3 linked regions of the Arabidopsis thaliana genome follow. The protein of the gene in region 1 interacts with the protein of each later gene in a pairwise test. Each region holds a gene or a part of one and is shown on either strand. Other genes may lie near its edges.

Region 1 (10,231 bases):
TGTATATGATACATACACACAATATTCTCTTGATTCATGGGCAGAGGTTGGTTGGTTGTGACTTGTGAATAGGTTTCCCAGTGTGCAATACAAGGTAAACTGACGGAAGCTCTGGAGGAAAAAGAAAGCTACAAACTGATAGGAGGATTGAAAAAAGGATAGTCGATGTAGGAACTGATCACTTATCTTCATATATGTAATCCAAAAAGAATAGTCTCGGGTCATTTCAGTTACATATTAACCAAGACTAAGTATTCTGAGACTACTTTTGAATCTGCCGGTGCTCTCGTCAAGAAAATCAGTAATAAAACCATATGTCAATTCAGGAGCAGTTCATTTCAACTTGAGTGTTGACGTAACTGTCCATGTGGGAAAATGAGTGCATATCTCTAATTGATTAACAGAAATGTATGCACTTTAGATAGGCCAAGCGATTGCAGCGTGAGTAAACTACTGATTAGTATCTATGGTAAACAAACATTGTTGCTAGTAGAAACAAAAATTTCCCAAAAAAGGCAGGGGAAGGATGGATCTTGTTACATTTCTTTACCAGTTTGGCTGGATCTTTTTTTGCAACTCCTCTGCAGTTGGGAGTAGTCAGTACAAATATATATATAATAATATTATTATGTTACAGTTTTGGAATTAGACGCTGAGGCCATCAAAGCCACATTGCTTGTAAATGAGAGCTTGCTTTCTGGGACTAATGCCTATCCCGCAATTCACGGATACCTGCAATGCATCAATATATTAGCAAGCAGAGTGAATCTTTTTATATATATATATATTTTTTTTTTGATAAAATTATTAGTTTAAATCAATACACTATAAACCAGTGAAAGGAAGGAGATGGTGTCGTTGTTCGTAATTTACACCTCAATATATAACATATAATAGCTTTTTAGGTGGTGGCATAGACGTGGATGAATGATCCTAGAAAAAATATCAAAAGTGAAGGAGAAGCAAAGGCCAAAAGGAAAGCAGAGTGGGGACAGACAAGAGCATGACTAGTGGTGTAAGGAATCTATTTAACTTAGCAACCACTTTTTTTTTTTTTTACCCGCATTTTTTACTCAAAAAGTGTGGTAATTTCTTTGTCAAAAGTGTTCACACTGCGCTGGTTAGGCCAGATCGCTGAGCGAGCAAAATGCGGGGAGAAAAGAAGGGAGAAGAACCTGAACACCCGGTGAATCGAAATTCATGACTCGGATCTTAGCCCCCACGTCTCCGCGGACTGTGAGCTCCACTCGGTCGTTCAAGGAAGCATCTCTGACGAGATCGGCGGCGTGGGCTTGCATAAGATTGACTCTGTCGACGGAGATGGTGGCCTCAACGTTCTTCGTACTGTGCGCATCCTGGTAGAATCCAGGCACCGTCGCCCTCCCCAGTGGCATGCCTTTGTACATGACCGTGAAGCTGGACTCACCGTACCTGATTCCGACCTTGTTTGGGTTGACGGCGGTGAAGAGCATCCGGATGGTGAGGGAGAGGGAGGCGGTGGTTGGATCCAGAACAGCGCTTGGGTTGGAGATCCCCATGTACACCACTGCCACTTGCTGCAGATCGAACTGCGGCTTCTTCGGCTTCACCGCCAGTATTACGATGAGCACCACCGCCAGTACCAGCAGCGCCAGGAACGCGAACAGCAAGAACAAGCAGCAGCAGCATCCCTTCAGCGACGCCGACGACGACGATGAGTAGCTCCGGTAATACGGCTGCTGGTTCTGAGCAGCAATCGGATCGCCGTTGAGACCTGCTCTAGAACTAGAAGGAGGAGGAGGCATAGTAAGTGAAAGCAGGAAGCTCCCTCTCCCTTTTCACTCTTCTTCTGTAATAGCGGTGTTGAAATTATACACAACAAGAGAGAGAGACCCTGTTTCCGTGTCTGGACTCTAGTATTATTGACAAATTAATGTTTCACAATTTTAACCACCAATAAAAATATCAATAATGTAATTTACAGCAATTTTAGGCAAATCTCACACTCAGACAAGGGTTAGAGATGACTCAAAAAATGTTGGATCTGATATTAAAAAAACAAACAAATACAAACACACAGTTACTATCCTTTAGTTACATCATATATATGTATTACGTCGTTGCTTTGTGCTATATAGCTGACCTCTTGCTGATATTTATATTTTCGTCAACTCTTGATCAAACACAGATGCCACGTCGTTTCTATACTGACTCTCCTCACTCTCTTTTATCTTCTTCAACATCTTCTTCCCTGTCCGACTCCGCATTCTTCTCTTGCTTAACTAAGCTAATATCACCATCTTGCTTCCCCCCTGTCAGAGATTGAGCTTCCTCGTTTTCTTCATCCACGTCTCCCGAATATGCATATCTGTCCATCATTAGTTTCATATTAGCATCCCTATCACACCCAGGAACACCAAAATTGGACCACTACATAAGAACCACTAGCATGTAGCCAAGACTTCCCACAACATGCTCAGCTGAAACCGTTTCCACAAAACCATGCTTATTTGTTGGTATGCCCGAGAGGTATCAAAACCTTTTAAGTTGATGTAACATACCTTTGGGAGTTCTGCGAGGGGGTCCAGAGATAGCAAATAATACATAGCAACAAGAATGCGATAACATCCCAGAAGGCAGTTATAGTCCAAGCAGTCTGCCATCGTTCATTGAATGGATCTGTTGCTTTGAAATACACCTGCACGGGGACAAATCATCAGGCAAGCAAGCTGGGTATATTCCAAGAAAGAAGGAGCTTCTTTTTTCCTAGCTTGAAACAAAGCCAGTTTTAGTTGAGCAGTTTGTTTCCTAGAGGTAAGATTTGAGTTTACTAAATCAGCATCAAATCAGGCTTGACAGGATGGTACCTCATACACTATCCACGCAACAGAGGCAACAACCATCACAGCGAGTGCATTTGAGAACTTGCGGTAAATTTCCAGCTTCACCGAGGTCCTTTTCATCTGCAGTAATAAAGAATTTTATAGCTGGTCTGATGAATCTTGCCTCAAAACCCTTACAACTTACAGAGTCTGATGGCTATATTTAGAAAGAAAGAGATACCTGTAACTGTTCCAGTGTTTTCGAAAGAGAGGTAAATATCCACAATATGAGAAATGCATCGAGGAAGGCGTCAGGAAGGACAAGAAAAAGTTTTGATCTTCCGGACATATCGTCAATGATGCCAACGTGCTCAGCAATATCAAGGATCTCAGAAGCTATGAAGTAAGTAACTCCAACAAGGAGGACTTTAGAAGTGAGACCACCAAGAGTAGATTTGACAACCCCAAATCCCATGGAAACACAGAGAATGAGAATGCGGGAAACAGTCTTTCTCAAGGCACCAATGGTAACAACCCATGTAGTAAGGGCTAAAGGCCTCATCCCCGTGTGATTAAAATTAGCATAATCCAAGTACCAAAAGAGCATCTCAAGCAATCCTAGAAGAATGACGGCAGTAATGCAATGTTGAAGTGGCAATATATCCATCCGGAACCTCAAATACTGGAAGAACCAGACGGCACTGAGCAACAAATAAGCGAGAGACATATAGACATAGAAATTCACGAGTGGAGCCATCCTACCAGGAAGATAGCCGTCGGGATTTTTCCAAACAGTCTTTCCGGTCATTTTGAGGCCCTTAAGTTGTGGATCACAAGATATGAATAAGAGATTATAGATTCCAGTCTTGGTGATAAGAATCTCAGTGTCTGCCATCTTAGCAGACGAGCGTTTTCCTTTAAAGCGGACAGGTAAGAGGATAGGCCATTGAGGGTCATGTGGAGAAGGAATCCTAATGATCTCACCCTGCTTACAGCCTTGAAGCTTGGCCAGATCTGGAGTGCAGCAAATAGATCTTTGGCCTCCGTAAGCTGAACCACCGATATTGTTACGATCGGAGGCTTCAAAGATCACTGCTTGAACTAACCCATTGCTGCGGTGGCCCTTACCGGTAATTGTCCTCCAGAGAGTGATGTTCTCAAACCTGCAGTGAGGAGGGAGGATGAGTAGAGTAGAGTAGAGAGCATCAAAAGAGTTGAAAATGTAATCCATAGAATATACCTGATTAAAGATCGGGAAGAGGCGAAGATGCCCTCGCTGCCACCGTAGAGGAGGAGAGAATTACCGACATCGTGGAAGGGCTGGGAAGAGTAGATGTGGGCGGAGGCCCCAGCGATTCTAAAGTGTAATGATAGAAGAAATGGGCACAGCAGCGCAGACAGCTGGATCAGTTTTCCCAAATCCATTATCGGGGAACGAGGATCTCTGAGGCTAACTAACAGGAAGGAAGCGGGAGAAGAGCAGCTGCAGAGTCGCTCTTGTTCTAGCTGCTGCTGACTTTGGTGGACCAACCAACTTAATATAATGGTTTGGGCCTTAGAATGGTTTGGGCCTATACCGAGAGGCCCGGCTTACCCAGAAAGAAATGCAGCAATAGTCAATGCCACTGCCTGGAATTCGTCGATCGAGCGATAAGAAGAAGACTGGAATTTTTTTGAGGAGGACTCTGCTCCATCGCCGCCCGCCCTGTAACCCACCGGACTCAGTAAACTAGTCTGTAACACAATATCTTCTATTTCAGATAAGATTTAGCTTGGAGAAGAGCAAGTTCCGAAAATGGAGGGGCGTCGTGTATAGATCCACCACCCACAGGTTCGTAGATTCCATAACCTTGGATTGTGTTTTCTTTTTGCTTTCTCGGCGACAAATTCCTCCGATTTTAGTGAACATGTCTCTGATTTTGGTGTCCTGTGGTGGATCTGCCGGAGCAAGTCTTAAACTTGACTTGGACTGTTTTTACTAGCTAATTCTGGGCGCTATTTCGTCTTCCTTGTTTCCATTTCTATCTCTTTCTCTCTGGCCAGTCCTCATATGTTATCATTTCCTAGCTTTGCCACTACTCATTACTTTCCCTTTATCGTGTTTATATCTTAGCCCTGATGGAAGCAGACAACGGAGGCCCCAATTCTAGTCATGCATCCAAACAACGTCTGCGTTGGACGCATGAGCTACATGAACGCTTCGTTGATGCCGTTGCTCAACTTGGTGGCCCTGATAGTAAGTTTCCTTTTTTCTTGTATAGTCTATGGTAAATTTAGTAACTCATGTTTTCCTCATCAATATCTGTGGTAATAATATGCACACCAATATAATCAAATTGCTCTTCTTGTATGCTTTACTACTATCCATGAGAGGGAAAGCCTATCGTCTGTTTGCTTAGGGTTCCTAAACATTTTTCTTCCTTTGATTTCCAAAGGAGCTACACCCAAAGGCGTTCTTAGAGTGATGGGTGTACAAGGCTTAACTATATATCATGTCAAGAGTCACTTACAGGTATTCTCAAACTGTGTGGCATCTTGTCTCGTCTCTCTTTCTCTTACCCTTGCTGATTTTTGCATTTGTGTATTTTGAGTCAGAAATATCGACTTGCAAAGTATCTTCCAGATTCGTCTTCTGAAGGTAGTGTGGACATTGATTTTCTTCATCTTCTTTCTCATTCTACCAGTTTCCTATATACCTGAAAACTGGTTTTTTCAATTTTCAGGGAAAAAAACTGATAAGAAAGAATCTGGAGATATGCTCTCTGGGTTGGACGGCTCGTCGTACGTGAAATTTCCCTCTTTGAGCTTGATTTGTGATGCTATATATATATTACCTCGCGCCGCAGATTAAGTGATCAATATCGTTTCGAGATTACAGGGGAATGCAGATAACTGAAGCCCTCAAGTTGCAGATGGAAGTTCAGAAACGATTACACGAGCAACTAGAAGTATGCTTCACCATTCCTACTTAAGAAAGACAAGCAACAACGAAACAATTAGTAGGATTTTCAGTGTAGCACTGAATTTTGCATTACATATGACATTATTCTTTGATGTGATTTTTTCTTAGGTGCAAAGACAGCTGCAACTACGGATAGAAGCACAAGGAAAGTACTTGAAGAAGATAATTGAAGAGCAACAACGACTCAGTGGAGTACTCGGCGAACCCTCAGCCCCAGTAACGGGCGATTCAGATCCTGCAACCCCTGCCCCAACATCTGAGTCTCCTCTTCAAGACAAGTCTGGCAAGGACTGTGGACCAGACAAAAGTCTCTCAGTTGACGAGTCTCTCTCATCTTACCGGGAGCCTTTAACACCAGACTCAGGGTGTAACATTGGGTCTCCAGATGAGAGCACAGGAGAGGAGAGATTATCAAAGAAGCCTCGATTGGTGAGAGGTGCAGCTGGTTATACACCTGATATTGTAGTGGGTCACCCAATACTAGAATCAGGCTTGAACACTTCTTACCATCAGTCAGACCATGTCCTCGCCTTTGACCAGCCATCTACATCACTGCTTGGGGCCGAAGAACAGTTGGATAAGGTTTCAGGAGATAATCTTTGAGTTGTTGAGTGTACCACATGTAGTGTTGTTTATCCTAATCCTTATTAGTTAGGAGTTTCCTCTAATAATGTGATCACAAGTCGTTAATTCTCTAGGCACTATCACGAGCATGAAGAATGAATATGTCTGTGTTGTGCTGTAATTTGGTAAACACAAAACAAAATTACTCTTATTCCCAACACACTACATTCTTCTAAAGCTACTTTATCAAAACAGTAACGCATGCCGCATTTAAACATACACAGCTGAATAACCTAGCATAAAGTTAGCTAGGCCTGGAGATGATCTCAAAACAGAACATTACAAATTATCACGTTAGTGAAGCCTGCACCGTTCTGAAGGTTTGCATATTTGCTGGTGCCTTGATAATAAAGACTGGTGATGCGATCTCGAATGGTCTTGTCGATGACGGTAATGAGGTGAGTGCACGGGTTGTGTTCTTTATGGTATTTTCTAGTGTTACGTTCTCTCCAAACGTTGTATTTTACAGTTCTCATATATTAAATTTCTCAAATATAAATAAACTATTTTGGATCAACAAAATAAAAATTTAATATTTTCTAAGAAACAATGTTGCTTTCATATAAAACACTCTTTCTACTATAAGAAAATACTTAGTATATCAGTGTAATAAGGAACTTTTTGAATTGACAACTTATATTTTATTTTGGGAATGTGACACGTTTAGACACTTTTACAAAATCTTATTCTTTTTGAGGCACTTTTCAGGGATGAGGCACTTTTCTTTGTTTTTGGAGGTAAAAAGGACAATTATATCATTTCCAAATAACTGTCTAATCACGTAATATTTTCTTTAAAAAGAAATGAAATTTGCTTTTTTTTTAATCTTATATCTGATGAAAAAGGTCTTCCTCTCTCTCAGATCTTCTTCCTTCTTCTTTCTCCTTAAGCAGACATCTATCCATGAAATCAACGCAATAGAAACGATGAAGAAACCTCATTTTTTGAAGAATCCAATGTTTTTCCTATTTCTTCTCATCACTGCTTCTTCCTTAACTATACTCATCTTCTCCTTTCTTAAATTACCGGAAACACCTCTCGCCGCTGGTAACCATCTCTGCAAACTCGGAGACGACATCTCCGACGAACTCGGTTTCTTCGGGAAGATGATGATCGAAATGTTACCTGAAGATCTGGTTTTCATAGCCTTCGTACCGTCGGAAATATCATTCAGCCGAGATCTAGGGCTAAAATTAAACAATAGTCGTCCGATTAAATCCCATGAAGACAAAAAGAAGATAACGAGTCTATTTAAATATATCCATAAAAACGAGTCCATTTAAGTATATCCATTAAGAAACCTTTTTACTGATACATATTTATTCATTATACAATGTACATAATAAAAGAGATGCGATTAACTGTGGTTTGTAAAGCTACCAAATTTTCTTGTCCATAAGGTCTTGGAGGTGGAGGTCTCTGCAAACTGAAAGAAAAATCAACAAACAATAGTTTTGTATCCATAATAACAAGTCCATTAAGATATATTCATTCAGAAACCTTTTTACTGATCCATATCCATTCTATATACCATGTCCATAATAACAGAAGATTCGATTAACTGTGGTTTGTAAAAAAACCAAAATTCCATGTTCATAAGATCTTGAAGGTGGAGGTCTCTACAAACTGAAATGTCTCTAATTGTGTATCCAATATAAACTGGCCACATAGACTTATCTAAACAGTTCGTTTTATATATTTTAATACAAGATCCATCAACAAACATTTTATTGAGAATATGATACAATGTTGTTGATAACAAGCAAATGGTTCGTAATTTGTATTGGATCATAGACTGTAATGGATTGAAGGGGACACAATGAAATTAAAGTTGTTGGCTTTGGCCATAAACGACGTCGTCAAACGAGGAGGAGAAGTGCACAGAAACCGTCATATGTTTCATGTATCTGTTGTCCAAATTTTGTAATAAAGTTGGAGACTTTCAGAGATTTAGAATCAGATTCATGAATGTATTTAAAGATCTCCAGAGAAGAAGAAGAGAAGCGATAGATGGTTGAGAAATATGGTAGATGATGAGAAACCCTAAGAGATTCAATTTTGATTTTGAATATTGAGATTTTCTAAAAGATTAAAGAGAAATTGGACTTTAAAAATAAGAAAATCGTCAGTTATATGCCTTACTAATAATTTTGGGGTATAATAGTCATTTTAACAAGGAAAAGTGTCTAATGTTTTTTAAGTGTTGGAACACGTCAAATGTTTTTAAAAAGTGCCCCTTGATGTAATATTCTCTTTTATTTTTGTCGACTAAATTTATTTTTCATCGACTTATTTTATAACAGTCGATTTACATTTTGGTTAATTGTTTTTCTTACATAGATGACTTTTTCAACTGTTGACTTATTATTTTAATTATTAATTTTATAATTTGTTTTTCCGACTTGTTTAATCTTAGTAGACTTATTTTATTTTACGTTGATTTATTAATAAGATAGACTTTTTGAATTATCAGCTTTTTGTTTAATCTTAGTAGACTTATATTTTATTTTCATCGACTTAATTTTTTCTCTACCGACTATATCAAAACAGTCGACTTATATTTGGTGGGTGATTGGTTGGGCTGTAACTGTAGAATTTTCGCTGTAGAGATTTTGCTGTAGCTGTGTTGGCTGTAGCTGTAACTTTTATTGCTGTAGAATTACTGCTGTAGGTTTTTATTTTTAAATATTTATAAAAAAATGATAAGTAAATATAATAGTTGTAATAAAATTTTTTTTTTATAGTAAATAAAATGTCTTATATTACTAACTTAGATATATTTATTATGATTATATAAAAATAAAAAAACTCCTATGAATTTTTAATAAAATAAATCTAAATTTTATCTATGATTATTCCATAAATTTATTGCAATATAATTTTTTTTTTTTAGGTTTGATAATTATCAGTTTTTTTTTAGAATTTATCTTTGTTTTTGTTATATATATATTTTGATAAATTTTTTTTGTATTTATCTAATGAATTAAAATTTCTATAGCCAAGAAAATAGGGCTTTGAGAATTTACTCTAGTACAGCCTTAAAAACAAAATAAAAAAAATTTGGGCTGTAAGTTTAAAAAGAAAGCTACAACACCATTGGTTTGTAAGTTAGCAAGAAAATAGGGCTTTAAGAAAAATTAAGGCTGTAAGTCAGATTTAAAGCCCAACCAATCATGCACGAGTTTCTACAGAGTGGACATTTTTGAACTGTTCATTTTTTTAAGAAAGTGATATAATTATTTTGATTTTATCTTTGAAATATTAATTAAATTTAAAAAATTAAATCTAATTAATATATATATATATATATATATATATATAAATTCGTAATTAATATGAAAATACAGTATATTTTAATATAATTATTTAAAATTGTTGAAGAAAATATTAAAATTGAAAATTTAATTTGGATTTATATATATCTTAAATCCGTAAGTATTCTAACATTTCTTTAGATAAAAGTATCATGGGGATCCTAACATTTATATACAGTATATTTTAATATAATTATTCTGCGACGGCGGTGAGATCTGGTGAGCAAGATGCTATGATGCTTGACGTCGGAGAAAAGGGGCGTCCACCAGGGGATCCTCCGGATAAGTTGGAGTCGTGGGCTACGAAAGTGAAGGGTAGTGCTGGGGGAGGTATCTTGAAACCAGAAGACGTGATTGATGATGAGTTTGTGAGGGAGCGGGTGGGGCTGGAGTTTCCAGATGGTGAGGACGAGGAGCCAGTTATTACCATTGGTGAGGAGGTGTTGGAAGCCATGAATGGGCTTTGGAAGAAGTGTATGATAGTGAAGGTGCTTGGGAGCCAGATTCCGATCTCGGTGTTGAATCGCAAG
Region 2 (9,985 bases), on another chromosome or scaffold:
AAAGTAATACTGAAAATTTTAAGTTTTTTATAGAGTGAAACAAACCATTTTAACAAAAATAAAATAAAAACAATTTTAGTGCATTGCAGACTTTTGCGCAACTAAAGTGTCTTTTTTAAACACATCATAATTTATAAACTTCAAAATTAATATTTTTAATTATTTTCGAGCGTTATATTAACAATTATAGATAAATTATATATATAATTTTATGTAAATATCATTCCATATTCAAAAATAAAACTGAATATATATAATTCACTCATTGTGGACAACTTGCTAGTATATACGTATAAACAGAGTTAAGATTCAAGACACAAAGTACTAGAACGATCAAGAGAGTGTGGAATAAAATTTACCTAAAGGTACTTGATTGAACTCAATTATGTTTGGTCTTGCATCATCTAAAAGCCTTTTCGCATCACCATAAGCAATAATAGAGTGTGAACCATGAAAACGAAGAGAATCATAAAATGTGCATGAATAGCACCAAATTGGATAACATCTGGACTCGGGCAATCGTCAATGTCCCATAACAATGTCGTCTTCGCTTCTGCAATATAGAAAACGAGATGGATGAATACTAAGATTTTATAGTAATTAGTGAAACTATAGAGAAATATAAACTCAATATCCTTAATTACCTTGGTCTTTCTTGGAGGGTCGAAACATGGTTTTCAACAAATTTAGAGACAAATAAACTTTCTCATTTGGATTTGTTTGTTTTTGATTGTGCGTGCTAAGAACCTAAGACCACCTCCAATAATATTTCTATAGGAGTCTTTAAGCATAAAATTCTTACGAAAAAGTTAAAAAATAAATCAAAACTGATAATTAATGTAAGGGACGATCCTTAAATTAAAGTTTTTAGAGTTTGTAAGAGACTCATACGTGTCATTGTACTATTGGGTAGAAAATATGAGGGAAAATAATCTTTTTTTCTTTCCGATGATTGTTGAAGGCAAGAATCTTGAAATTTTAACAAACAATTTGGAGAAAAGAAAGATAGACGGGGTGATTGGATTAGACTTTTAAGACTTTAAGAAGTTTTTAGAAGTTTTAAAAGTTTTTTTAACCCAATCAAACATTTTTGGTTTTCATAAATTTTAAAGCCTTTAAAGTCTTTTTTTCTTAAACTCTTTGTTTTCAATATTTTTTGAAAATCACGTATAGGTGACTTTAGAAATAAAGAAATAAAAAGTTTATAGTTTTTTTCTTCTTCTTTCTAATATGTATATAAACTCTCATAACATTTCACAAATAAATTATTTTTTGAAAAAATCTAATTGATTTATAATTGATTTTTTTCTTGTTCTTTTAAAATCTATTTTCCTATATATTTGGTAGTTATTTTAAAATCGTAATTTATACAAAATTTCCTATGGAATTCATTGATAAATGTTTATAATTACTGTTTAATTTATATTCTTTTAAGATCCACTTATGTATATTAAAGAACATCAAATATTACATTTGATGCAAAAGCAAAGAAATATGAATGTATAAAAAATTTACCATAAAGTTTTTTTGTGTGAATGTAGTTGTTATATCACAGTTCGAGTTATATTTGCTATAATTTATATTATTTAAAATTATAAGTTTTACAGTTACAATTTCTACAGTTTTGGTGTTACCTATCAGATTTTAACCGTTAAAGTCTATACTGTTAAAATTTTTAAAGTCAAAATTTTTATAATCAAAGTTTTTACCGTCAAAGTTCCTACAGCGAAAGTCTCTACAACCAAAATTAACAGTCGTTACCAATCGGCCCTAAAGATAGATAATGATATCTTACCGCTGAAATCTTCTCCCTCGTAATACATGGTTTTGACGGATTGATCGAGACAATTAGAGAGTGATAAAAAAAAATCTGTGGTTGAGTTAGGGTTTAAATACGTAATCAGGTGACACGTTAAATTATCTAATTGTACTTTACCAAAAATTATATAATTGTAATTAATTAAAATGCCAAGAAAAAAGAAAAAAAAAAACAGTGCAGATAGACATATGGTTGATTAACACACTGTATTATCCATTTATTTACAGTGAAATAAAATATGATTAAATAAAACAAAAACAGAAGCCTCCAAATATTTGGAGGCTGATTACGCCAACTAGTCCCCGTGTTCCTCGATTAGGTCGGCCCATCATATTGTTGGATAATTACGGCCCATAAAGTTTTTACTTGATCTGAAATCATCCAAATGAGAAGATTTAGATAATTCATAAATTATATTGATGTTCAATTGTTCATCATACTGCTCTTTTGTTAACAACAATATGGCTTTGAATTTGATTGATTGTCTCTAATTTTGCAGATATTGGAAAGACGAAATGGTTCGATATTTTGAAGTATAGGTTTATTCACATGAACACCCTCGGTGATGAAATCGAGACTTACCAACCAAAAGCCCTTGTTTATTGATTTTCGTGGTTTGGCCCGCAAGTATTTTTTTTCTTTTCTGGTTAGCCGAATAATATTCAGAAAACGAGGAAAAGCATTGAGATTTTTTTGTTTTAACTAACTAAAATTTGGATGAGAAAGTGAGTTAGCTGGTCAATAAAAGGTACAAAAGTTTAGTGTTTGGACAGGCCACTTGTCATTTGAAAAGTCTCTTTCTGTTTTGTATGAGATAATCGTCACCAAATATATATTTTTCTTACTGACTTAATAATTTCTGTTTAACTGATTCAAATAGTAAATATATTTTGGTTAATTAAAGGTTCAAACGAAAATAAGTGTAAAAAGCTAAGGAGGAGACAAAAATAGGTAAATTTTAGTTGGTAAGAGTTGAAACTAAAAATTAGTATTTAAAAAAAAAAGCAAAGAATGTGACAAAAATGGTAAATATATAGAGAGACTTTCTTGGGGATGACTCAATGCCACTCTTTGTTCATACATAAGAAACCCCACCGATGACTTGGATAGAAAGAAAAGACAAATCAAACCCTTTCATTCTTACTCATGTCCTTTTCATACACCACTCATTCTCTCTCTCTCTCTATCTATTTTCTCCAAGTCCACTTGCAGATAGGTGCAATGGTTAAACACTAAAGTGGGATTGCCATTTTCAAAGACAAGTCCTTTTCAAAAATATCATCTTCTTCATTCTCCTTGTTGAAATCATTACCAATTTAGAACAGTCCATGGCACTTTGTAGTAAAAAATGTCAAAAGTGAAAATCAAAAGTAGACTTGGGCCAGGGACCATATACCATGTTTAGTAATGTAATTTAGATATTTAAGTTATAAGTAGTGGAGAAGTAGGCCTTTTGACGCGGATACAACGATGAAATGAAAAGAGTGATGTCTCAAAGAGTCAAGTGTCGTTCCCATGTGCTTTTTGTTCGCTATTGCTCTTTTCTATTTCATTCGCTTTAGGTTTTTAGAAATTGCAAAGTCACAAAGAGCTTCCACACTCAAACCTCAAATAAGCAAATTCTCGAACTATGCGTCGTGTATGAATGATAATTCATAAAACTTGGTTTGTTATTGAAAGACTTTTAAATTCTATAATCCTCTTTGGACTCTTTTCTTGTTTCTTCTTTGCTTGTGTTTTTTTTTTGGTATTTTTGTGTAATTTTTAGCTTTTGGCTAATGGCTACTACATTTTCTTCGTCAAAGTTCGTCCACCAACAACAGATACTAGTAGAGCCCGCCACAAATCGCTTTTGCTCCATTGTATATGGGCCTACTTACGGACCCACAAGCCGTCCTCCACAACACTAACGTTGAGATAAAAAAGACATGCGTATACAAATAAAACATGTCTATTGTTTAATTTTTGCTTGCTCAAGTCATATTCAAGATGTTAGCTTAACTTGTCGAAAGGTTTTTTTACAAAAGTAACTGAAACTAAACCAATGAAGTCACTGAAATTTGTTAACCAAAGTCCAATTTAACGACCCTTTTAGTTGATAAGAAACAGCTTTGAAAAACCTTGACCTTTGCGGCTTGAAAGCAGAAGATAATAACCTAATTCTTTTTACTTTTCTTACATCAATCTTTTTACCTTTATAATACTGTTAGTTAAAATGAAAAAAGACAGAAAAGTTGCAGGCGACATGCAGGTGACAAGTAGCAGAAGACAGTTGTCGACGTGTCACATTCACCATTTCAGCCAAAGCCATTGATCTGATTCTAGACGGTGGAGATGAGGTCACACTCTTCGATACGTAACTGCCGATACATGACGTCATCGTGTCTGTGGGTCCCATAAGTGAGATATCGTTTTACTCTCTCTTTTTTTTCATAACGTCAACTCTTTTTTTTACCCATATTAACAGAGTGGTAATAATTATTTAACAAAAAAAAACCTATGTATTTTTTATTTTTTGGTCAAAAGGTTTCTGAATAAATTTGTAAGATTATACGAAACTACAAATTCATGAGATATAGAAATTATTCAATTGATATTTTGATAAATTACATTTCTATTATTAAATTCTTGAAAATAATTAAATACAAAACTGAGTTTTTTAGTAAACTATGTTAGTTAGTTTCTTCATTTTTTGTTGTTGTTGTTGGTTTTATAGTTTCTTCATTTCTTGCAGTTAATAACGTAATTTTGTACTTTTAAACTAAAGTGGTAATTGATTAAAAATACAGTACTCGAAAATGATAAATCGGATGACAAAAAAAAAGAAAATGATAAATCAAAATGAAAATACTCACTTTCTTACTTTTTTCTTCCTACTAAAATCTCTCCGGTTTCATTCATATCCCTCTCTCTCTCTGGGCCTTACTCAATCACCACCAAATAACAGACAAAAAAACGCCTTCATCGCCGGCGAAAGTGAGTCGGAGAATGGCGTATATGTGCACCGACAGCGGAAACTTAATGGCTATAGCACAACAACTCATCAAACAGAAGCAGCAACAACAATCACAACATCAACAACAAGAAGAACAAGAACAAGAACCCAACCCCTGGCCCAATCCATCCTTCGGGTTTACTCTTCCCGGTTCGGGTTTCTCCGACCCGTTTCAAGTAACCAACGACCCAGGTTTTCACTTTCCACACCTGGAGCATCATCAAAACGCAGCCGTCGCTTCCGAGGAGTTTGACTCCGACGAGTGGATGGAGAGTTTGATCAACGGTGGAGATGCGTCACAAACCAATCCAGACTTCCCAATCTACGGCCATGATCCATTCGTCTCATTCCCGAGTCGACTCAGTGCTCCTTCATATCTCAACCGAGTCAACAAAGATGACTCAGCGAGTCAACAACTCCCTCCGCCACCAGCTTCCACCGCTATATGGTCTCCATCTCCGCCATCACCACAACATCCTCCTCCTCCCCCGCCGCAGCCGGATTTTGATCTAAACCAGCCGATTTTTAAAGCTATCCACGATTATGCACGTAAACCGGAAACTAAACCGGACACACTAATTCGGATCAAAGAATCCGTGTCCGAATCAGGCGACCCGATACAACGAGTCGGGTATTACTTCGCAGAAGCTCTGTCTCATAAAGAAACAGAGTCTCCGTCGTCATCGTCGTCGTCATCCCTAGAAGATTTCATTCTCTCATACAAAACCTTAAACGACGCATGTCCATATTCAAAGTTCGCTCATTTAACAGCGAATCAAGCAATTCTCGAAGCTACGAATCAATCAAACAACATTCACATAGTCGATTTCGGGATTTTTCAAGGTATTCAATGGTCTGCTCTGTTACAAGCTTTAGCGACCCGTTCTTCTGGTAAACCCACCCGGATCCGGATTTCGGGTATACCCGCTCCGTCTCTAGGAGACTCACCGGGACCGTCTCTGATCGCTACGGGAAACCGTCTCCGTGATTTCGCGGCGATTTTGGATCTCAATTTCGAGTTTTATCCGGTTCTGACTCCGATTCAATTACTAAACGGGTCAAGTTTTCGGGTTGACCCGGATGAGGTTTTGGTTGTGAATTTTATGCTTGAGCTTTATAAGCTTCTAGATGAAACAGCGACGACTGTTGGTACGGCGCTCCGGTTAGCTAGATCGTTAAACCCGAGGATTGTGACGCTTGGAGAATACGAAGTCAGTTTAAACCGGGTTGAATTTGCTAACCGGGTTAAGAACTCTCTCCGGTTTTATTCCGCGGTTTTTGAATCGCTTGAACCGAATTTGGATCGAGATTCGAAAGAAAGGCTGAGAGTGGAGAGAGTGTTGTTCGGTAGGAGGATTATGGATTTGGTCCGATCAGATGATGATAATAATAAACCGGGAACCCGGTTTGGGTTAATGGAGGAGAAAGAACAATGGAGAGTGTTGATGGAGAAAGCTGGATTTGAGCCGGTTAAACCGAGTAATTACGCGGTTAGCCAAGCGAAGCTGCTACTATGGAACTACAATTATAGTACATTGTATTCACTTGTTGAATCGGAGCCAGGTTTCATCTCCTTGGCTTGGAACAATGTGCCTCTCCTCACCGTTTCCTCTTGGCGTTGACTACTTGGTCCGATAAGTTAATCTAGTATTTTGAGTTAGCTTTTAGAATTGAATTGTTTGGGGTTAGATTTGGATGTTTAATTAGTCTCTAGCCTATTCTCTTACTCTTTTTTATCTAGTGCTTGGAGTGATGATGGTTTGTCGTTTATGTTCATTTGTAATATATATTGTATGTAACATTTGACTAGATTTCTTTGGTATAAACGAAAGAAGCTAAACCAAATTCATGTGAATGAAAAAAACACTAGAATTAACCCCTGAAATTGAGGAAAGGAGGTGATGAAGTTTGATTTTGAAATGAGAGTATTATGGTCCCATAAAAGAGACTGAAATTTGAATTGCACTAAGATCTTTCACTAACACACCATTTCTTCTCCCTTTTCATCATTTTGTCTCCACTTTTTCTTGCCTAATATAGTTTTGTTTACTTCATGAAAATTATATACCAATGTTTTCTGTACCATTCACTGAATAATAAAATAGGAGCATAATTATTTGTCAGTGAAGTAAAAGCCAAAAATACGAAGGCGCACTGACAAGTATTTCAATCTTTCTGTGTCAGTCTTGTTTCTCTTTGTTCGAACTTCAAACGTGCCACTATGACGTCAACTCTCGAATTTCTTCTTCAGTGGTCTTTTGGTCCCCATTTCCTATATCTCTCAGCCACTACTCTGACTCTGTCTGTGAGTCTGATAGTAAATTTTACTTCCCTAACGAAGATAAAAGCCCACTCTGTTTATGCTTGGCCCAAAATAAACAGGCCTAATCTCTGTCCCATTCCTTTATTTATATTAGCCACAAACAAAAACAATACATAGAAGTATTTTGCAAATAACCCAACCAAGTCTTGACTCTTCACAGCTAATTGCTTACAATTTGCCAGCTTGATTTTTCATTTTTTAGAAAATCATGGTTAGGAATCCAACATCTATAAGTGTGATGATACCTGAAATAAAAATTAAAAAAAAAATGATCTAATCCACTCATTTTAAGTGCTTTTGAATTAGAAATCGAAAATGATATAGACTATAAAGTAATATATAGATCAATCCATTTATAACTAATTGATTTTGAGTTAGAAACTTCTAAACTTCACATACATCATAAAATTAAAAGTAAATCGTTTCATTTACAAATAACTAAAGTATTGGTGGAAACTAACACCTTTGGATATCGAGCAGACTATGTATGATATGAAATTCAACTTAGACGATGAAATTGCAAGCCATGAAATAATGTTTACCGGTTTCTCTAAGAAAAAAGGTTCAAGCAATGATGCGTTGATATTTTCCTATAATGAGATGAAACTGTTTTTTTGACCAATCATTCATGAGCGGAGTCGCATCACGACGACGTGTGGGATAAACAATGTTCAATGGAACTTCCAAGCACATGATTGACAACCTTGGTCCTTTGACTGCACGTTACCTCATATGTAAATAGATATTAATACAACATTTTATGCCCATATTTGTCGACATATCACTGAGTTAGTAGTATGTTTGATGGTAAGCAATAGAACAAGAAATAACAGAGGACAAATGGATAGTTTCTCACGTGCCTCCATGTGATCTTTAACTCCTTCAAGATACGAAGATCAACAACATTTTGCCAATGAATGATAATCTACAACATTATTTTTTTTGGTTCTATTATAAAACACTTTTTGCTAGAATCTCTCGGTCAAATATTCGTATATAGAATATAGTCATATAGATCAAGCTTGATGGATCTATGAGTTGGACATTAATAATCTCATTCCAACTTCTTATCCTATATATAACTCAATGGCTTAGATCTCTCATTCTATATGCCATTGAGTAAAAACATAAATGGCACGCTTAGAAATGCACAACTCCATGAATGGTGCTGCTAGAATCTCTTTTTCTAACGAGTTTGTCGAGATCAGATCGGAGAAGAGTAATGCTAAGAGCAACAACATCAACTCGAGAAGCTCTTTCTCCATGCCCTCAGCTGATTTCGCTTTCTCAGTCACCGATTACTCGATGATTCCCGCCGATGAAATCTTCCTCAAAGGAAAGATTTTACCTTTTAAGGAGACCAGTCACGTCCATAGGACCTTAGGAGAAGAGCTTCTTACTGAAGAGGAGGGTTCTATGGTCGATGGTAACACTTTCTCCCTCAGGCCAATATTGTTGTCTTCTTCATCCTTTTCCACAAAGGGCACGTGGAGGGAGCTTTTGGGACTTAAGAGGACCCATGTTAGATCTAAGAAGACTGATAAAGTCAATGAGGAAGTGTTAAGTCAAGATCACAAAATAATCTCAGGTATACAAACAAAAACAATCCTCTGTTTTGAAATTTTTATTCTTCTTTGGATAACCGGAGATTCCCAAACCAATACTAATATGAGCTAGTGAAAATCTTTTGGACTGATCAGGAAATGTTGCAACGAGGGAGTGTCAAGTTGCAGATACAAGATGAAGAAAGTTTAGAGCTCCCACTTTGGTTTCTAGAAATTAATTTAGATTATTTATGATAATCTAGATTGACTGTATCTAAAAGGTCTTTGGACAAAGATGGTTCCAAGTTACAACAACTCTTCTCGCTCACGTGTTTTGTTGTTCTTGTAAGTTTTTGTTTTGTTTGTGGAATCAATCATTTTGTGGAACATCTCTATTTTTTAATGCCAGTGAAGATTTGTGTGTAATACTTTTTCTTTTTATTCACTTTTAGTTATAAGTTGTCTGCATGCACTTGTCTCACGTACCACTTATTATCATATATTCATATCGACCAATTAAACTTCTTTTCCCACTTTAATTTGATGGTTTAGTGTATTTAGCATAATCAAAATAGTATGTGCGTGAGGACTTGTTCTGAAGTATTTATTCCTCTCATTCGTTGAAAATGAAGTTGAAGAACACTTGTTTTTTTTGTTATGAATGTTAATATCATTAAAAATGAAAAGGTTTGGCTTTACAAAGTAGGAGCCCTTAAATTTGTATCCTTGGCAAAAAAGATAAAACAAGGAGACAAAATAATTAGGAAAATGGATGAAAGAGATTCATCGTATCCAAAGTTGCATCAAGTTGCGGAATCGTTTGCGCTTATGTCTTGCAGTGATTATGTTTCTTGTTACTCGATCTATGCCCTTGAAGATGATAACCGGAGGAATAGAAACCTGATTGTGAACACTTGTTTATCAGATGATCAAAGTATATAGAAACATGGTACTTAATTACTAACACAGTGACTACTCTCGTTATAAGTAGTTATCAACTTATCATTGGTGATGTATATGATGATGCACTTTAAATAGGTAATGAAACATATAGGACCTGAGTCAAAAAAATGTACTGCATTGTTTGAACAAATGTACTAAGATCAAAATGTATATCATCATCAGTTCATCACCATATTTCGAAAAGAACAATACTTATAAATTTTCTGTTTAATTACTTAATCAATAAAAGATGCGTATGGTATTAGAAACAAGCTTTTGTCAATTGTGAACAAGCAAAGAAAGATCCAATTCTAATAGAATTCAGTTTCTCGAAATTTTGTATATAAATAATAATGTAAGGA
Region 3 (10,762 bases), on another chromosome or scaffold:
TTTAAACAATTGCAGGATCTCGAGGTGAAGGTGGTATCCTTAGAAACAGTGAAGGTGAACGTTTTATGGAACGATATGCTCCTACAGCCAAGGATCTTGCATCAAGAGATGTTGTCTCCAGATCCATGACTATGGAAATCAGGGAAGGTCGTGGTGTAGGTATGTTCCACTGAAAACTACTTCTTATTTTCAGAGTGAACTCTCATTACATGATATGCTTTGATATTGTGATCAGTCTAGTTTGATTCTCACCCTGGACAACTTTTTGCTGATATCTTCCAGGACCGCATAAGGATCATATCTATCTCCATCTGAATCATCTTCCTCCAGAAGTTCTAAAAGAAAGGCTTCCTGGAATCTCTGAGACCGCTGCCATCTTTGCTGGTGTTGATGTTACCAAAGAGCCAATTCCTGTCTTACCCACGGTTCATTATAACATGGGTGGTATCCCAACAAACTACCATGGCGAGGTAAGAATAAGAAAAGTCATTTAAGAAACTTTGCTGAAATTTGTGTGGAGTTAAGCATGAGATGGATTAGAAGCCTAGCTCTGAAAGTTATTCTGTTAAATCCTGCAGGTAGTTACCATCAAAGGCGATGATCCAGATGCAGTGATTCCTGGGCTAATGGCTGCTGGGGAGGCAGCTTGTGCATCTGTTCATGGTGCCAACAGGCTTGGTGCAAATTCACTGCTCGACATTGTCGTATTTGGTCGTGCTTGTGCAAATAGGGTTGCAGAGATAAGCAAACCAGGTTAGTCTTTTTTGAGGACTGCTGTTATTATAAAAGATAAGTCTCTTCTGATCATTTTTTTTTCTTTATTCGATTGGTGCAGGGGAGAAACAGAAACCTCTTGAGAAGGATGCGGGTGAGAAGACTATTGCATGGCTGGACAGGTTGAGAAACTCAAACGGGTCTCTACCTACTTCAACTATCAGATTGAACATGCAGAGGATTATGCAGAACAACGCAGCTGTGTTCCGCACGCAAGAAACATTGGAAGAAGGTAAACAGTGATCTGAACTTGTTCTGCATTTATTTAATTCTCTCACCTGCAACTGCAATCCATTTTCTTTACAATTTATTACCGTGAAACAATCACAGGTTGTCAGTTGATTGACAAGGCCTGGGAAAGTTTTGGGGACGTCCAGGTGAAAGATCGGAGTATGATATGGTAAGACAGACTCTATTCACATGGGATTGATTATCACACTGTTATAAAATCTGGTGAACTCTTGTTAATCTTGGAAACTATGAATAAAATGCAGGAACTCGGATTTGATAGAGACATTGGAACTGGAGAACCTTTTGATAAACGCATCCATAACAATGCATTCAGCAGAAGCACGAAAGGAAAGCAGAGGAGCACATGCTCGGGAAGACTTCACGGTTTGATTCCTTGCTCAGCTTTTCCACAATGATTGATTATCCCATAATGATGAAACCATAACGTAGTATAAATGAATGCGTGTGTATGCAGAAAAGAGAGGATGGAGAATGGATGAAGCATACATTGGGATATTGGGAAGATGAGAAAGTGAGATTGGATTATAGGCCTGTTCACATGGACACTCTCGACGATGAGATCGACACTTTCCCTCCCAAAGCTCGTGTCTATTGATCGAGCCCATGTTTTTATTTTATCTGTTATCGGAATAATAATAATAATCAGGAACCCCCCAAAAAAAGGGAATTAGGAGAAGAAGACGGAGTTATGAGCTGATGGAGCACAAAGGACTGTTCTGAAACTGGGTTTACGTTTTACACCAGAAACGATGAAAATAAATTGATAGAAAGAGGAAAAAACACTACAATTCTTATTTTCTTTATCAGTTCCTGAAATTGTTACATTCTTTGTTACCTGTTAATTACGCCTTGGTGATATTCATTTTTTTTTTTTAAATCAAAATGTTCGAATTCCGTATCGACCGTGAAAGTTATTTTGCGGTGATAATAGGTATCAGAACACGAGATACAATTTTGAGTTGTGACCATTAGAAAAACAAAATTTGGGTTGTTTTTTCTTGTCTGAACAAAATTTTATTTTAGGTAAATTCGGATCAGTCAAGGCATTTTTTAGGCCTACAAGTGGGGGTAATTTCAAATATTTTTGTTCAATATTTGCGTATCTGAGCGAGTTTTAGATTGGTCCGATCGTCGTCGCTAGATGATAATGTTGGCCGTAGAAAATGTGACCTTTATAATGTATCTCTCTTTAAAAGTCGTCCACTTGCTTATGGCGTATACTAAAAAAGTGCTCTTCCACATATGCAAATTGAAGATACAGTCGGTGAATGTAAATACAAAAATGATCTATGATTACGACCTTGAAGCTTAGAAACTAGCCCCACACCAATTCGACTAATTATGTAGTTCAATATTACACTAACCAACCATAAGATATTATATTTTTCCGCATGCGTGTGTGTTATTCCTAATTAGAACCAATCGATAACAAAATTAGAAAGCTCCACACAAATTAAACTAAACCAGTCGACTTCACCAACCAACCTTATCTATTAACCTGCTCATTTCACATTTAACAATTCCAAAACCCAATCAATTATAGTTAATTAAAAAATTTCGACACAAAGCTGACTTAGCAATGCCTAAAACGCAACGTATGAAAGAGAAATCGAGGAATGTCGTAATTAAATTGTCTAATCTTCATCTAACCTTGTCAATAAAGTAGGGTTTTTACTCACTCATACACCTTTCTTTTTCTTATCCTTATCTTAAAGTAAAAAATCTTTTTCAAATTTACTTTGACCGGTTACGGAACTTATGCTTAATGGGGGAAGATTCATATATATATATATAGACATACAAAACTTATTAGAATATATGGAGTTTTACCCGGAAAAAAAAACTCATTAGAATAAAAACTAATTCTTGTTGTTATTTACTTTTTACACAATGAATTTAACCAAATTGTAGAGAAATTACCTTATCTACTGCTTTTATGTTAATATAGTTCATAAGAAATCTGAAAAACACTATGCACCTAGTGCTGTATATTCAGAGACTGTTGTATGTTTTATGTAAAAACTGAAAGAGAGATGTGTAAGAAGTGGGTCACCAAAGTGAAGTGAGTGACATTTTGACGTGGAGACAAAGGTGCAGTGCAACACAAAAGAGAGGTTAGTCGAAAAGCCAGAGAGATTAAAACGTTGTTTTTTGCATATTTTTCTTTCCCACTCACTTTTTTTTATATAAAAAAACACATTTGCAAATTATCATTTATAAAAAGAAAATACTTTAACTATATCCTTCTTTATTTTCTGTTCAACCAAAATACTTTAAATATCCAACACAAACTCACATTTTAATTTTTGGTGATCGTTGCACTTAGTATGGTTGTTGCACACATTAGAAAAACTAAATTCTATAGGATTCAATTGTTCTAAAATTCTAATTATATATGTGAAAAGATGAAAAGCTGTCAGATTATATTTCCCTTACTGTATGTGTTACTATTAAAAACACTCCAGATTATTTTTTTTAAAAGCTTTGGAAATACTGTTTTATTTTTTTCATTTTTGGGTAATTTTTAAAAGCTAATTTTAAGATTGGTTGCTTCAATTGTGCAAGATCGATCCAATAACAGTTAAAAAGGCCCCACCAGCGATTCCTTTTCCGTGTCATATTTTAGAACTTACATGTATATTGGGCTGATCCATGGGCCCATCTGTCACCCTCATACAAACTATATATAAATTATAACACACACACAGTCTCATATATATATAACAAGTTGTCAATGAATAAATTGACAATACAATTTGAGATTATGTCTTACTTTAATTAATTATTTTATGGTGCGTCTATATTGTATCATGATGTTAATGTTTGGATATATATACAAACAAGTAATTTTCACATCAATTGCACTCTTCTTTTAATTTGTTTGGTAACCATGAAAATAAGACCATCTATTTATTTATCTATGAATGAATAATTAAGGAGGTAGGTGAGTCACTGAGAGTCAAGAGCAGTTTGTGATGGGAAAGAAGATACACATTACAGAGATCAACGGCAGAGATGAGGAACCCTACAGTATGATGACGTCATCGTTGACAGTGGTGGACCCCACCTCTCGGGTCCCTCGAAAAGAGCGGGATGAGAGATTTGTTTTCATTCATACACTTCTCAGTCTTCTGAATCTTCATCACTCTTAAACTTTAGGTTAATTTCATTTTTTGTAAACATATTTTACATCTATCTTAACCCAGATTTATATACGGTACGAATTTATTGAAAATATGGTATAGTTTGGAGGCATGAAAGAAGTAATATCAATATTGACAAGGAAAAGAGCGAGTTTATTTGTCTAGTGATGAAGAAGGACCCATAGCTTCGTCATATCCTCTCCTCCCACTGAGCGTTTCACTCACCAAAAAAGCTCTCTTTAATTTATTTTATCTTCTATTCCTTTATTTAGCAAACATTTTTTTAGTATTTGATTATAAAATCTGTTTAATTTTTGTTTTGGCGCGAGAGTGTGCGTCACGTGAACAAATTTACATTGTTATATCCCAAACGGAGACATTAATATGAACAACCTCGGCCATTATATGTCATATCGTCTTTAAAAAATGTTACACAACATTGTGAACTCAAATTCAGAAACTTGTTAGCGGATGAATCGATAATGACGAGTTCACAATGTAAAACTATGATAACATTCTCTTACACACAAAAACTAATGTGGGAGTAACTTGTACATATCTCTCTATTTCTTTCTTAGGAGACTAACAATTTGGAATTAGATCCAATGATTTCTATAATGTATGCATAAATATGTTATTGGTTAAGAGATGTGGTGTGTTTATATCGGTATTATTACCGTTACAAATATCATTGTCTTAAAAATAACAAAGAAAAATGTGTGGACCCACAATGAAATCAGACGGTCAGATTTTAATCAAACGTTGATCCACTTTCTAGGGCTGACCTTTCTTTCTTCTCCTCTCTTTACCTCTCTCTCTCTTCTAAAATCCAAAGCTTGAGATCCCGCCGTTTCTCTCTGGTCATCATCCTCTTCTTCAGTGACCGCAAATCTGCATGTTTGGCAGTGGTTTTTATAGACCGCCGGGAGGGTTAGATCTAGGCGTTAAGAATGGCTTACATGTGCACTGATAGTGGCAATCTAATGGCTATTGCTCAACAAGTCATCAAACAGAAGCAGCAACAAGAACAACAACAGCAGCAACATCATCAAGACCATCAGATTTTTGGTATTAATCCTTTGTCTCTTAACCCATGGCCCAATACTTCCCTCGGGTTTGGGCTTTCAGGTTCGGCTTTTCCCGACCCGTTTCAAGTTACCGGCGGCGGAGATTCCAACGATCCTGGCTTTCCTTTTCCTAACTTAGACCACCACCACGCCACAACCACCGGCGGTGGGTTCAGGTTATCTGATTTCGGCGGTGGAACCGGCGGCGGCGAGTTTGAGTCCGACGAGTGGATGGAGACTCTTATCAGCGGTGGAGACTCCGTTGCAGACGGTCCTGATTGTGACACCTGGCATGATAATCCCGATTACGTAATCTACGGTCCTGATCCATTCGATACTTACCCGAGTCGACTCAGTGTCCAACCGTCAGATCTAAACCGAGTCATTGACACGTCGAGTCCGCTTCCTCCGCCGACCTTGTGGCCTCCTTCTTCGCCATTATCGATTCCTCCGCTTACTCATGAGTCACCAACCAAAGAAGATCCAGAGACTAACGACTCCGAAGACGATGACTTCGACCTAGAACCACCTCTCCTCAAAGCTATATACGACTGTGCACGGATCTCAGACTCTGACCCTAACGAAGCTTCCAAGACGCTTCTTCAGATCCGAGAATCTGTATCGGAGCTAGGTGATCCGACGGAGCGAGTTGCATTTTACTTCACGGAAGCTCTCTCCAACAGACTGTCTCCTAATTCGCCGGCGACGTCGTCTTCTTCTTCATCTACGGAGGATTTAATCTTATCTTATAAAACCCTAAACGACGCTTGTCCTTACTCCAAATTCGCACATTTGACGGCGAATCAAGCGATTCTAGAAGCGACGGAGAAGTCGAACAAGATTCACATCGTCGATTTTGGAATCGTTCAAGGTATACAATGGCCTGCTCTTCTTCAAGCTCTAGCTACTCGTACTTCTGGTAAACCCACTCAAATCCGGGTCTCGGGTATACCCGCTCCATCTCTCGGTGAATCTCCGGAACCGTCGTTAATCGCCACCGGAAACCGCCTCCGTGATTTCGCCAAGGTTCTGGATCTGAATTTCGATTTCATCCCAATTCTCACTCCCATACATTTACTTAACGGGTCAAGTTTCCGGGTCGACCCGGATGAAGTACTGGCCGTGAATTTCATGCTCCAGCTCTACAAATTACTCGACGAGACGCCGACGATAGTTGACACCGCACTACGGCTCGCCAAATCGTTGAACCCGAGGGTCGTCACTCTCGGAGAATACGAAGTGAGCTTAAACCGGGTCGGTTTCGCTAACCGGGTAAAGAACGCGCTTCAATTCTATTCCGCGGTTTTCGAATCCCTTGAACCGAACTTGGGGCGTGATTCGGAGGAGAGAGTGAGAGTTGAGCGAGAGTTGTTCGGCCGGAGAATCTCGGGTTTGATTGGACCGGAGAAAACCGGAATTCATAGAGAAAGAATGGAAGAGAAAGAGCAATGGCGGGTATTAATGGAGAATGCCGGTTTTGAATCGGTTAAGCTGAGTAATTACGCAGTGAGCCAAGCGAAGATTCTATTGTGGAATTACAATTACAGCAATTTGTATTCAATTGTTGAATCTAAGCCTGGCTTCATCTCTTTGGCCTGGAACGATTTACCTCTCCTCACTCTTTCTTCCTGGCGATAACCAAACCAAACCGATCCGGTATTCTTAGTTTTGTTTTGTTTTCAATGTTATTTTTGGTTAGACAAATATTCAATTGTTAATATACTCCGTGGTCAGAGTGTTTTGTTTTTCTTTTAGTTCGAACGTTGAATTAATTCAGGGGTAGGTTTTGAATTCTCTGAACCTTATGTGTTTTTTGGTAACATCATTTGGATTTGTGAACTAGGTTTAAAAACTGGTCTTAGTCTTGTTGTTTTCTCATTAGATAATTTAAACTGGTTTGCTTCTTTATTTTTGGTTGGATAAAGTGACCGGTTCTGGTCATCTGTTTGAGATGTAATTACTATTTCATAAAATTAGGAAGTTGAAAGCCAAATATATTTGTAACTACTCTTTTATTTGTAATTTTGCTCAAAAAAGTGATGAAATGTAGTTTTGATATATGAATATCTACCATTATACATAAGTATATCTGAACATGGTACAACTTATGAAAGCTAAATGTCAATACTTGCAAAGATATAACAAATACAAGTTACATGAATAAGAGATGTGTGTTGAATTTATAAGTGTCATTTTCTTTTCACTTTAAAACAAACTTCATCTTCTTTTGTTTCTTATGTGTCAAAGTTGCCACAGTTGCTCTATTTGAGTCTTTCAGTGTCAGTCTCAGTCACTGTACTGATTTTACTTTTTTTTGTTGAGTGTGCCAATGATGACATCACTCCCACGTCCTCCATCCGTCTTCTTTTAACGGTCACGTGGCTCCCACCCTCTTTTCTCGATGTCTTTACCGACTTGTTCTAGCCCAACTTACTTGGGCCATTTAGATTTTTTGGTGGCCCAAGTTGCTAAAAGAGGATTTATCATAGAAATCTGAACCCGTTGCAGCGCTCAACACATGTCACAGTCCTGACAAACACGTATTCAAATCCTTGTTAAGTCCCGCCACCTGTCACCAGAGCACCACGAGGCAAACTCTGATCAGGACACCGTCGTACTATTATGTCGGAAGACAGGAAAGCTTAATTAAGCTTAAACCTGACGTATTTAACTTCGTTAACTCTACCTTACTAAAGGGTTTTAATTTAAAACTTATCATCTCCTCGTAAGAATAAAAACTACTTACTCTATAAATTTAAGCTTCAAGAAACCTCCAAAAGCAGAGAAATGATCAACGCTTTTAAGACTATCCGATCACTGCCCTCGAATACCACCGTCTCGTTCTGCTCAACACCATCTCGATTAGGCCGGAAAGTCACTGGAGTTAGTTTTGCCACCACTTCTGATCAGCAAAAGATGGATAAAAAGCCTGAAAATCCAAACGAGAAAACCGGGTTCGTCTCCTCCCCATATGTGTGTAGTTGTTTCTGATTCGTAATTTGGATGTTATTCAAAAAAAATTTCGTTCTCTTCTTTACTTTGATGGAGCAGTGACGTGATGTCGCATTCTTATGGAGAAGGGTACGCAACAAGGTCTGACGAAGAAGGGTTTGGAGGAATCTATGGAGGAAATCAAACACTTCAGAAGGAAAACGAGATCCATGAGAATCACCCTGGTACTCAGAATAGTTAGTTATCATATACACGTTTATTACTACTTATATGATCACTTTTATTGTTTACGATTCTGGGTGTGTGTGTGTGTGTTTTCATGTTATTGAAGATTACGACAAAACGCAAGGTAGCGAATCGAAGGAGAAGGAGAAAGCAAGGAACCAGACACAATCCCACTGCTAAAGAAAAAATGATGATTTAGTGTCTTTGTTCTTTATGCTTTAATAAAATCAGACTTGTGCTCTGTAGTTCGTAGACTCTGGTTAGAGTTTTTTTTTTGTTAATTGCGTTTTTTGACCCGTAACCTTTACCGGGTTTTTGTTGGTTATCCTTATCACTTTTGTAACACTCGTTGAATTAGTAGTTTTTGTTGATTGTTGAACATTCCCTTAATTTGACTGTGTTTGTTTATTTATGAACAAATCTACGGTTTTTTAGTTGAACCGTCGAGGAAAACATTCTTAGATAACGTCAGCAATGAATATTAGCCTGTTTTCGGACTTTCGATTCCGATGCAACACGTTAAAAGTAACGTCAGCGAAGATAAATTTGGTAAATTCATCTGAAACTCCAATGCTGATGGAACTTAGCTGGTGTGTTGCGTGTTCATAATTTATGTTATTAGTAACGTCTTAGAAGTTGGAATATTCACTCCAAGTTCGCACTTCAAAACTTTCAACAAGTTTTTAGTTCTTATCGTACGTCTCAAAACAGAGTTGAGGAGATTTAGCTTCTACTGTTTAGTGTTCTACACTTGCTTCGTACAAAGAATTGAATTTTTATTTCCATAGTTACATGCACATATTTGTATTAACAATCTCTTATTATTGGTTAGTATCATATCTGTAGTTATTCGAACACTGGGGGCAAATTTCATTTAATCAATCACCTAACGAGGCTATGATGCATGATTAACGAACGTTAAAGCCAAAATGTCAAGACTACCCCCTTATTATCAGCTCGCAGTTGGTCAATGCCTCAATGGTCTGAAGTTCAGACTCTGAACTATAATACAAGGTCAACTCAACCCGCTGGTAGTAACGAAAGTACGAAACAGTCAAAAACATATCTTAAAAATTACATAAAAACCGGAAACGAAGTTGCAGAATTTACAGTTTCTGCCATTGGGACAATCATTCGATCTCATCATTATCCTTCTTTCTCTCCATGGCAGAAACTCCTCAACCGTATCTCATCTTCGTCTTCTTCGTCTTCACTCTAACCGTTGCTACACAAACCACCGGTTCGGTTAAGTGCAAAACAAGTTTGCTCCGTTACCCGTTTGGTTTCTCCGACGGTTATCCGATCCGATTCAACTGCTCTGAGATAACCGGAGAGGCCGTGATCGGTGAATTCGCTGTGCAAGAAGTGACAAACTCCAACATCTACGTCGAAATCCCGCCGGTTTGCAAACGCAACATCCGTAAAATCGAACAACTTTTCCGGGAAAATCTTGCTCCGTCGAAATTACAGAACATAATTCTCGTCCAAGGATGCAAGAAACAGAACAAGTCTTCTAATTGCTTAATCCGCAATAAATTCGTTGAAAACCGGTTAAATCTCAGCAAATGTAAATCTCCGGTTAGCTGTCTCGACGGAGCAACAACGACAACTGCCGATGTGATGAGTTTAGGCGACGTTGTGAACGGAAGTGGATGTAAGTATTGGTTCTCTTCTATTTCTCAATCGCAAGTTTCGGTCAATTTGGGTCGACTCAAGCTTGATTGGTGGCTTAAGGGAAGTTGCAGTAACACCACTTGCTCGGAGAACGCAGACTGTGCCAAAGTTAAGCTCGACGACGGTGGACTCGGTCATCGCTGCACTTGTCGTGAAGGATTTAGCGGTAAAGCCTTCACCGTGCCTGGTGGTTGCCACCGATTAGGTTCGTTCCGGTCTTTGACTTTTGTTTTCCAATCTTGACCGACATACAAATACACCAATGGTACAATGACACGTACGCTTTTAGCAAGGAGGAAAAGCTGACTTTTCAAAACTTGGCGGAAGAAATTAGTTGACAATGATTTTTTTTTGATAAACAATAAAACAAAACGATATTTCTGTTCCGACAAAAAAATGAAAAGAAAAGATATTTCTCTTAATTATTTTTAACTGTCATGGTTTCAGTTTACAAACGCAAAGGACTACACAAACTCGTTGTTCTTGGTACTGGTAAGTAAATTACTAATCCTATTATTCGGTTAAGTATCAATTAGTTGCGGTTTAATTAAGTCTCGAAAAGTTGAATGTTTTGTGTTTTTGTTATAGCGGGGATTTTGGTTGGAGTTTTAGTAATCGTGGTCTTGATAGCTACATATTTCTTCCGGAACAAGCAATCTGCGTCATCTGAAAGAG

Evidence for each region.
Region 2: the proteins of AT2G01060 (region 1) and AT3G50650 interact in a two-hybrid assay, tested with the Arabidopsis thaliana proteins (one large-scale study listed by BioGRID).
Region 3: the proteins of AT2G01060 (region 1) and AT5G66770 interact in a two-hybrid assay, tested with the Arabidopsis thaliana proteins (one large-scale study listed by BioGRID).

The regions. Positions count from the first base shown.
Region 1 is NC_003071.7:69,591-79,821, reverse strand, and holds AT2G01060 (myb-like HTH transcriptional regulator family protein), read left to right. Parts: upstream 1-4,312; 5' UTR 4,313-4,632; intron 4,633-4,914; 5' UTR 4,915-4,919; coding exon 4,920-5,037; exon of another isoform or gene 5,038-5,236; coding exon 5,237-5,313; intron 5,314-5,396; coding exon 5,397-5,439; intron 5,440-5,524; coding exon 5,525-5,582; intron 5,583-5,679; coding exon 5,680-5,749; intron 5,750-5,871; coding exon 5,872-6,366; 3' UTR 6,367-6,614; downstream 6,615-10,231. Other genes in the region: AT2G01080 (Late embryogenesis abundant (LEA) hydroxyproline-rich glycoprotein family), read right to left, coding at 646-732, 1,176-1,784; AT2G01070 (Lung seven transmembrane receptor family protein), read right to left, coding at 2,197-2,347, 2,541-2,677, 2,847-2,942, 3,043-3,964, 4,042-4,226; AT2G01050 (zinc ion binding / nucleic acid binding protein), read left to right, coding at 9,938-10,231.
Region 2 is NC_003074.8:18,802,923-18,812,907, reverse strand, and holds AT3G50650 (GRAS family transcription factor), read left to right. Parts: upstream 1-4,664; 5' UTR 4,665-4,807; coding exon 4,808-6,436; 3' UTR 6,437-6,769; downstream 6,770-9,985. Other genes in the region: AT3G50640 (uncharacterized protein), read left to right, coding at 8,269-8,725, 8,838-8,881. UniProt on the Arabidopsis thaliana protein: Probable transcription factor involved in plant development. Involved in environmental abiotic stress resistance. May increase the expression of stress-responsive genes. Binds DNA in vitro.
Region 3 is NC_003076.8:26,655,604-26,666,365, forward strand, and holds AT5G66770 (GRAS family transcription factor), read left to right. Parts: upstream 1-4,707; 5' UTR 4,708-5,119; coding exon 5,120-6,874; 3' UTR 6,875-7,316; downstream 7,317-10,762. Other genes in the region: SDH1-1 (succinate dehydrogenase 1-1), read left to right, coding at 16-159, 283-470, 579-753, 836-1,006, 1,105-1,174, 1,269-1,389, 1,481-1,621; AT5G66780 (late embryogenesis abundant protein), read left to right, coding at 8,024-8,190, 8,288-8,412, 8,520-8,593; AT5G66790 (Protein kinase superfamily protein), read left to right, coding at 9,578-10,292, 10,535-10,579, 10,676-10,762. UniProt on the Arabidopsis thaliana protein: Probable transcription factor involved in plant development.